2 linked regions of the Xenopus tropicalis genome follow. The protein of the gene in region 1 interacts with the protein of each later gene in a biochemical or structural test. Links are inferred from orthologs where the notes say so. Each region holds a gene or a part of one and is shown in the gene's direction. Other genes may lie near its edges. The genes, in order: clint1 and ap2b1.

Region 1 (3,824 bases):
TAACCCACATAGGTGGTAATGAAATATGTATGTACATGGAATATACCTACTGAAGGTCAAACTGGTTCACCTCCACCCTTTAGTATTCCTAGTGTGTAGGTTCTTGAAAAGGAACACACAGTGGGCCTTTACAGACATCATTATTTTTGGCTGTCACTGTACCACTTCATCTAAAGCCTATACCTCTACATGCATAAATCTGGCATTGCCTCTGTCAGGAATGTCCTGCTGGGTGCCTGCATTCCTATGCGGCCTTTAATCCCACTGTGTTAAATGGAAATACACAGACATCTTTTCTTTGCGCTGGTACTGAGTATTTGCATCACAGCCTTCTAAAACAGTGATCCCCAACCAGTGGCTCAGGAGCAACAAGTTGCTCACCAACCCCTTGGCTGTTACTCCCAGTGGCCTCAAAGCAGATGCTTACTTTTGAATTCCTGGCTTGGAGGTATGTTTTGTTTGCTCAGAAACCAGGTGTGCTGTCAACAGAGCTTCCTCTAGGCTGCCAGTCCACACAGGCTACCAAATAGCGAATCACAGCCCTTATGTGGCACCCCCGGGAACTTTTTTTTATGCTTGTGTTGCTCCCCAGTTTGAATGTGTCTCACAGGTAAAAAAGGTTGGAAAACCCTGTTCTAAAACAAGCCAGCTTTTGTCCAACCCCTCCCAAAATAAATGGTAGTTGCCAAAGAGTAGGAAGGAAACTTGCCGTGCCCCTATTTATGAAGAAGCCATAGAAATTTGTACTTTAATGGATGATGCAGCCAGTTAGATTATACTTGGCAGGCCTCTCTGGGCCCTACATCTCTCCTTGCAGTGTGGTCCTTGTTAGCTTCTGCTATCTCGCTCTGCTGCTTCTGACCTCCTCGCTGCCTGTGCAGTATGGACACGGGTTACTGCATCTGCACCTTATTGTGCTGCTTCCTGCTTTGTTGATATTTTTGGATTTACGTGTGTGTCTTGATGTTTGCTTGAATTTGGGCAACCTGTAATTATGGACTTGTGCCTTAATGGCCTCTGTGATTCAGTTATTCTATTCATTATCTCTTTTCTGCCCATAGGCTCTGCAGTACTCTGCAGGCTATTTATATACATTAATAATCTCAGCTTTCATTTTTTTCCTAGTGCTTTTCTTCCATCCCTTTCTGTCTTCCACCGTCCCCTACCTTGTCCTTTCTTTCTTCCACCCCATTCCTGCTCCAACTTCTGCTTCTTTTATTTCTTTATAACTTTCTTGCTTCCTTCTCTTACTTTCTTCCATTTATTTTTATTTTTCCTCTTCTTATTCCTTCCCTTCTTACTTTCCTTCATCACCTTTCTTTCCGCCATCGCATTCCTTCCTTCTTTCTTCTCTTTCTGTTCTTCTCCTTCCTTTCCTTCATCTTTTTTGACCTTGCATTCTTTTATCCCTCCATTCCTTCATCACTTCCTTATTTCCTTCCTTCCCTCCATTCCTCACTTCCCTGCCCTTCCCTGTTCTTATCTGGTGATATCTTTAGTCCTCCACTGAGGCAGTATGATTTCTAGCACCTGACTATTTTACACTCTTACAAGTCTTTCCCTTTGTAGAAATGAAATTGTGTCTGTGCTTGATGTCTTCTTTGTGTCCATGCTGCAGATGATCACTATGACTCTGAGCCCAAATCTAAGTGGGACGAGGACTGGGACAAAAGTAAGACAGGTTTTCCATTCAGCGACAAGCTGGGCGAAATAGGTGACAAAATTGGAAGCACCATAGATGACACTATTAACAAGTTCAGAAGGAAAGACAGGGAAGATTCCCCAGAGAGAGGAAGGTAAGTGACCGGATCTTATGCAAGGCTACATGTGCAAGGGCCAGATTGTATTAAACAGTGATGTCCTACACTGAAGTGTGTGAAGCCTTTGAGGTGGCTTTGGGCGCAAAATAATTCTTTGGAAGACCACATGTGATCCTCTCCAAGGCGACCTCTAGTTATGAATTATGAGTGCTAAAGAGGATTTGGCTTCATGTCTAAGAGAGGTGTTAAGAATTCTCCTATGACTTCTTATATCTTAGTGACAGCGAAGAAGAAAGAAAACAGAACCGAGCAAAAAAATCTGGAGAGTTTAAAGATGAGGAGGAAACAGTCACCACCAAACACATCCACATCACTCAGGCTACAGAGACCACCACTACTCGCCACAAACGTTCAGCCAACCCCTCCAAGACTATTGACTTGGGTGCTGCTGCTCACTATACCGGAGACCAAGAAAGTCCTGAGCTTACCTCCTCAAACCAGAATCAAGCGTCCACCATCAAGGTGACTTGCTTAAATTGCAAGACCTCAGTGCAGGCTTATATAGCACACACCCTTCAATGCATTATGGTGGCTTTTGCAAAGCGATATATATTTATGGGAGGGGCCTTTTCATACCTGTGTAAATAAGGAGTTTTTACTAATTGCTTTTTTAGAAGTCTGTTTGGTAGGTCTTAAAAACCCTGAAGCTCCACATGTCATTCTGTTAGCATCTTCTCTATTCTCTCTCAGCCCTGTCCCCTTTGATAAAGTTTTATTGTATTGGGGACACAAAAGAGGAAATTTTTACCTATCTCATTTCTCTTTTTGTAGCCTACCAGCAAATCTTCAAACGATCTTGTCGATCTTTTGTTCAACTCAGGACAGAAATCAGGTAATGTTGTTACAAGGGGATGTTTCGGGGTTTTTTGTTTTTTTTAACAAAGGGCACAACATTCTCTCTGGGTTAAGTGCAGTACAGGAAGAATATAAGGTCATTCTGCGTACTTGGATATGGGCCCCTTGAATGTAGATGTATGTTTGGTGTGTTTATGATGCTCCACTGCTAATGCTAATTATTTACCAAGGTTCCACAGGTTCTGATCCATTCGGTGAGTTTGCAGATTTTACCTCTCCAGCTGCTGTATCATCTACGGTTCCATCATCACAAGGTAATTTTACTTTGATAACCGTGAAGCTGGAGTGGGACATGTTTATTCAATACAAATCCTGCACCTTCTTCAGTCCATTGTATGCACGTGTCAATGAGTGTCCCCCTTTTCCAGCAAATGACAGCACACCTCCAAATTATTTGCATATGGTGGAGCAAAACATAAGTGTTTCCAGTAGCATGTTTAATATTGCTGGTTTTGTGCTGTGATAGAATTGAGCAGAGAAATGCCAGGAGACACTTCTGCATCAGTTACTTAAAGGGGTGGTTCACCTTTACGTTAACGTTTTGTGTGTTATAGAATGCCCTGTTCCTTGCAACTTTCCATTATTTATTTATTTTTTTAATCATTTTTTAAATTTGCCTTCCTCTTCTGTCTCTATCCAACTTTTAAGTGGGGGGTCATAGCAGCCAAAAACTATTTCTCTGTAAGGCTACAGTTTTATTTTTAGTGTTACTTTTTATTCCATATCATTCAATGCAGGTCCTTTCCTATTCATATTCTTTTCTCTTGCTCACACCACTACCTCGTTGCTGGGGTAAATAAGACCCTGGCAACTAGATAGCTGCTGAAATGCCAAACTGGAAAAAACAGCTTACACAAGCTAAATAACTGCAGAACCATACAGAATAAAAAACTAACTGCAAATAGCCTAAGTCAATGTCACCATCATACTAAAAGGTAATTTAAAGATGAAACTACCTCTTTAACATTCTTTCTGCCAAGACAGAAAGGGGGTACTCTTATTACTCATTCATATTAGAAGTATAAAAACTCAAAGTCATGAATTCTAATAAATTATTAATTTAAAATGCAAATGTGCTCAGAAGTGACAAGCTAAGTACTATGTAAGTGTAGGACTGCTCATGTTTACATTGCTTATCCCATTATCCTC
Region 2 (3,824 bases), on another chromosome or scaffold:
TTGACATTAAGTGAAAGGTTTGCCCATCAGTATTTTCTAATTGATTTTATAAAACTGTTTTGCTGATATTAGCATTTCAAGCACTGCCAGGTACATTACTTATGTACCTAAAAGTGTGCAGTTACAACATTCCATAATATGGGTGCTGGGGTTTGCTTAAAGTGTTTCCCTTTTTACAAATGACTTCCACTGAAATTAAGAACCTTCCTTAAAAATTTCCTTAAAATTAAGGACCTTGAAATGCTACCTTATCTATGTTTTTCCCAGGTATGAAAGTATAATTGCCACACTGTGTGAGAATCTGGATTCCTTGGATGAGCCAGATGCCCGTGGTGCCATGATCTGGATTGTTGGTGAATATGCAGAACGTATTGACAATGCTGATGAACTACTGGAGAGCTTCTTGGAGGGATTTCACGATGAGAGTACACAGGTAATTTTTGGGGGCTGGCCATTTAAAGCCCTAGTGGCCAAATATGATTTTTCTAAGGTGAGACTGCTTCTATGGAGGGTAATACTGTAGATGCTATGGTTCAAGACAATTTTAACTCAGGCATCTAATTATTACTATTGCATTTTTATCACTAAATCCATGATCTTTAGATTTGCCAAATAAAAAATTAAAAGTTCAGTTGTTTGCTTTTTTCCCCCTCTAAGTTTATTATATCGGTAACAGGTGAGATACGGTTGGGTTACTGGGGCATATTTATTAACACTGGGCAGATTTGGCTGGGGGCAGTAACCTTTAGCAACCAGTCAGCGATTGGCTTTTTTTTTAGCCAGCTGCAGGTAAAACAATGAACCCAACATTTTGATTGGTTGCCATGGGTTACTGCCAATGGGCAAATTTGCCCAGTGTTGATAAATGACCCCTAACGATCTTTGTTTCTGTTGCTACTCAGCCCAGTAGGATTTAACAACAAACTTACTTTTAAAAGAAACATGAGGAAAAGTACTATGGCAAACATGACACTGTTGTAGTGGCGTTTTCAGCCCTTAAATGGCCCCTAAAGTGCTTTTTGGCTGAAAACCACCATTACCAAAGCTGTCATATAGTTCCCATTAAAATGTTATCATTTTTAGGCCTATGGCACATGTAAAATATGCTCTTTGGTCATATTCAGTTTCTAGTCCTGTCAGTGTGCACAGATGTGGAGGGAGTCAGTGTTCTTTACACCAGTGGAGAAAAAGTCCTTATGGCCCTCTGCCCAGTATGTGTGTGCACTGCCAATGTACATACAGAAGTTTTCAGCTAGAAAATGCTCATGTGTGCATATTGTGCCCAAGGTCTGTTCTGTGTGCAGTAACAGTCAGAATCCTTGCTATTCACACACATAAGGGGTAAAGGGGCACTGAATCGTCAAAATGCCATGCAGAGAAAATCCCATATGTGCCATAAGCTTTTAAACAAGAGGATGGTTAATGATCAGTGCTGGAGGTACTTTCAGAATAGGTTTTATTAAATGCCTGTACATCTTCCAAATGCAATGCACAATAATACAATTGTTTCAGATTAGATTGTGTGCAAGAAAAGGATTATGGCTTGTCGTGGGAGTAATTTAACTGTAAGTTAGTGAAGCAGATCATAACAGAGATTTATTAGTCAGCCCTTTCTGCTTCATCATTAGAACGCAATTGACATGATTGTTCAAGCAGTCATGGAAATGAAGATGTGATTTATTAAGTGGTAATAAGCTATGCAGAGGCAATTTAATAAGAGATCTCTAACAGTTTTGAACTGTACTGTATTAATGCAATGATTCCTTTCCTATGAAGGATAACATATGGTTCATATAACTTTGGTGTAAAAAAAAAAAAAAAAAAAACATTTGGATTGGGTGCTAAACTGTACTTACAGTAGGGCCTGAATACCTCTATAGGGTTGTTATGAAGTATGCACTATTTACTGCATGTCATTGGGGTAAATTAATTTCATGTTTGTCATAAGGATCAGTATTGGTTTTAGGTGCTGAAGTTTAAACTAAAATCGCTCCTCAGCATTTTGGTGCACAGGAATTTTCTTCTTAAAAAGTCAACACACTGGGGGTCATTTGTCAACATTGGTTAATCACTGATTGGTTGGTATGGGTAACTCAAACGTGCAAATTTGCCCAGTATTGATAAATGGCTTCTAGTACTGTTAGCATCTTTTAAAAGATGTAAGGGTTAAATAAACCCAGTAGGATTGTTTTGCTTCTATCGAGGATTAATCACATCTTAGTTTAGAACAAGGAATTGTTTTATTATTACAGAGAAAAAGGAAATCATTTTTAAAAATTGTAATTATTTGATTAAAATGGAGTCTATTGGCGGTGGCCTTCCCGTAATTTGGAGCTTTCTGGATAACACATTTCCAGGTTAGGGATCCCATACCTGTATTTAAAATATAGATGTTCAAAAACTGTACTCATGTTTATTCTCATTTATATGTTTTCCTTCTTTGGCTTTTAGGTTCAACTTACTCTACTTACGGCTATTGTCAAACTCTTTCTGAAGAAGCCATCAGAAACCCAAGAGCTGGTTCAACAAGTTCTCAGCCTGGCTACACAGGTATTGATAAGTTAACATTGGAAAATAGGAATATAGTTGTTAGCCCTTTTTTTAAAAAAATATCTGCTTCATACTGCTTCCAGTAGGCTTTCTAGTCTCTTGTATTATCCAACTTCTCCAGCAGAATCCTGCATTTAAATTCGTTTTTCAGAAACTGATTTTTTTTATATTTAAAATTTCACATGGTGCTAGCCATATTCTTCATTTTCCAGGGTCCCAGATATGTGACCTGTGCTCTGACTTCAGTCACACTTTGCTGCTGAGCTGCAAGTTGGAGTGATATCAACCTCTCCCTGTAATGACAATAAAGTTGAATCTAATATAATCTAATGTATTCTCCCAAACCATGAAATAGATTATTTTGACCCATCCTTTTTTAGTTTGGCAACAGTCTTGCGATAATCAACTTTGTACACAGTTGTAAATTAATTGGAGATATAGACACAATACCTAATTAGAAGTTTCTTCCAAAGGAAGTTTGCTAGAACATCTTTTACTCGCTGAACTTTGGGCGATTCGTCTGCTTGTACAGAATCAGCCTGTCAGGCACACACACACAGCGTGCACAAAAATAGATACTTTGCCGTCTCTGCAGCAAAATTTGCTCTGTCAGACACATGTCTGTTAGTTCTACTAAGGTTCTACTGCAGGGGAAAATAGCAATGGCTATAATGGGCACCCTTTCTGTGTGCCTGTGTGTGGATTTGTTTATTAGTACTTTTTATTCTAAAAATCACACTAGGACTCATTTACCAAGCTGGGCAAAAATCCATGCCAACCAATCAAATGTTTGCTTTCATTGTTTAACTTGCCACTAGATGGAAACATTGGTTTTGCTATGGGTTACTGTCCAGGTGCACATTTGTCCAGTGTTAATAAATGAGTCCCACTGTGTTTCACAAAACCATTTTAGTGTTTTTCTTTACTTTGAATTTGGGGCTTTTGAGACACTATCAAGAATTTTCTACAACTGGGTCACTTTAATCTGTTGTCAGTAACAGAACATAGAATAAGTCTATTGTCAGAGGCTAGACAGTGACATATTCAGAACAAAGCAGATTGTGTTTAAGTATTCCTAGAAGTGCTGTTTTTTATTATTATTTATGAAAAAAATCCATTCACAAAGCTCAGTGCTAGCTTCCTGAGGACTATAATGTATACTTTCAAATGTCATGGTTATATTTAAGGGTTGAAGAATATTTTAAGTGACTTTTTGTGTTCATAAATTTTTCTTCCATCTTACAGGATTCTGATAACCCAGACCTGCGAGACAG

What was found.
Region 2: the proteins of clint1 (region 1) and ap2b1 form a complex in vitro, tested with the Homo sapiens proteins (2 studies listed by BioGRID and IntAct, with this or other methods). The link is inferred for Xenopus tropicalis from reciprocal best matches to the Homo sapiens genes CLINT1 and AP2B1.

Annotation. Positions count from the first base shown.
Region 1 is NC_030679.2:13,974,295-13,978,118, forward strand, and holds part of clint1 (clathrin interactor 1), read left to right. Parts: intron 1-1,618; coding exon 1,619-1,796; intron 1,797-2,038; coding exon 2,039-2,282; intron 2,283-2,591; coding exon 2,592-2,652; intron 2,653-2,845; coding exon 2,846-2,929; intron 2,930-3,824. UniProt on the Homo sapiens protein: Binds to membranes enriched in phosphatidylinositol 4,5-bisphosphate (PtdIns(4,5)P2). May have a role in transport via clathrin-coated vesicles from the trans-Golgi network to endosomes. Stimulates clathrin assembly.
Region 2 is NC_030678.2:93,543,732-93,547,555, forward strand, and holds part of ap2b1 (AP-2 complex subunit beta), read left to right. Parts: intron 1-267; coding exon 268-433; intron 434-2,451; coding exon 2,452-2,550; intron 2,551-3,795; coding exon 3,796-3,824. UniProt on the Homo sapiens protein: Component of the adaptor protein complex 2 (AP-2). Adaptor protein complexes function in protein transport via transport vesicles in different membrane traffic pathways.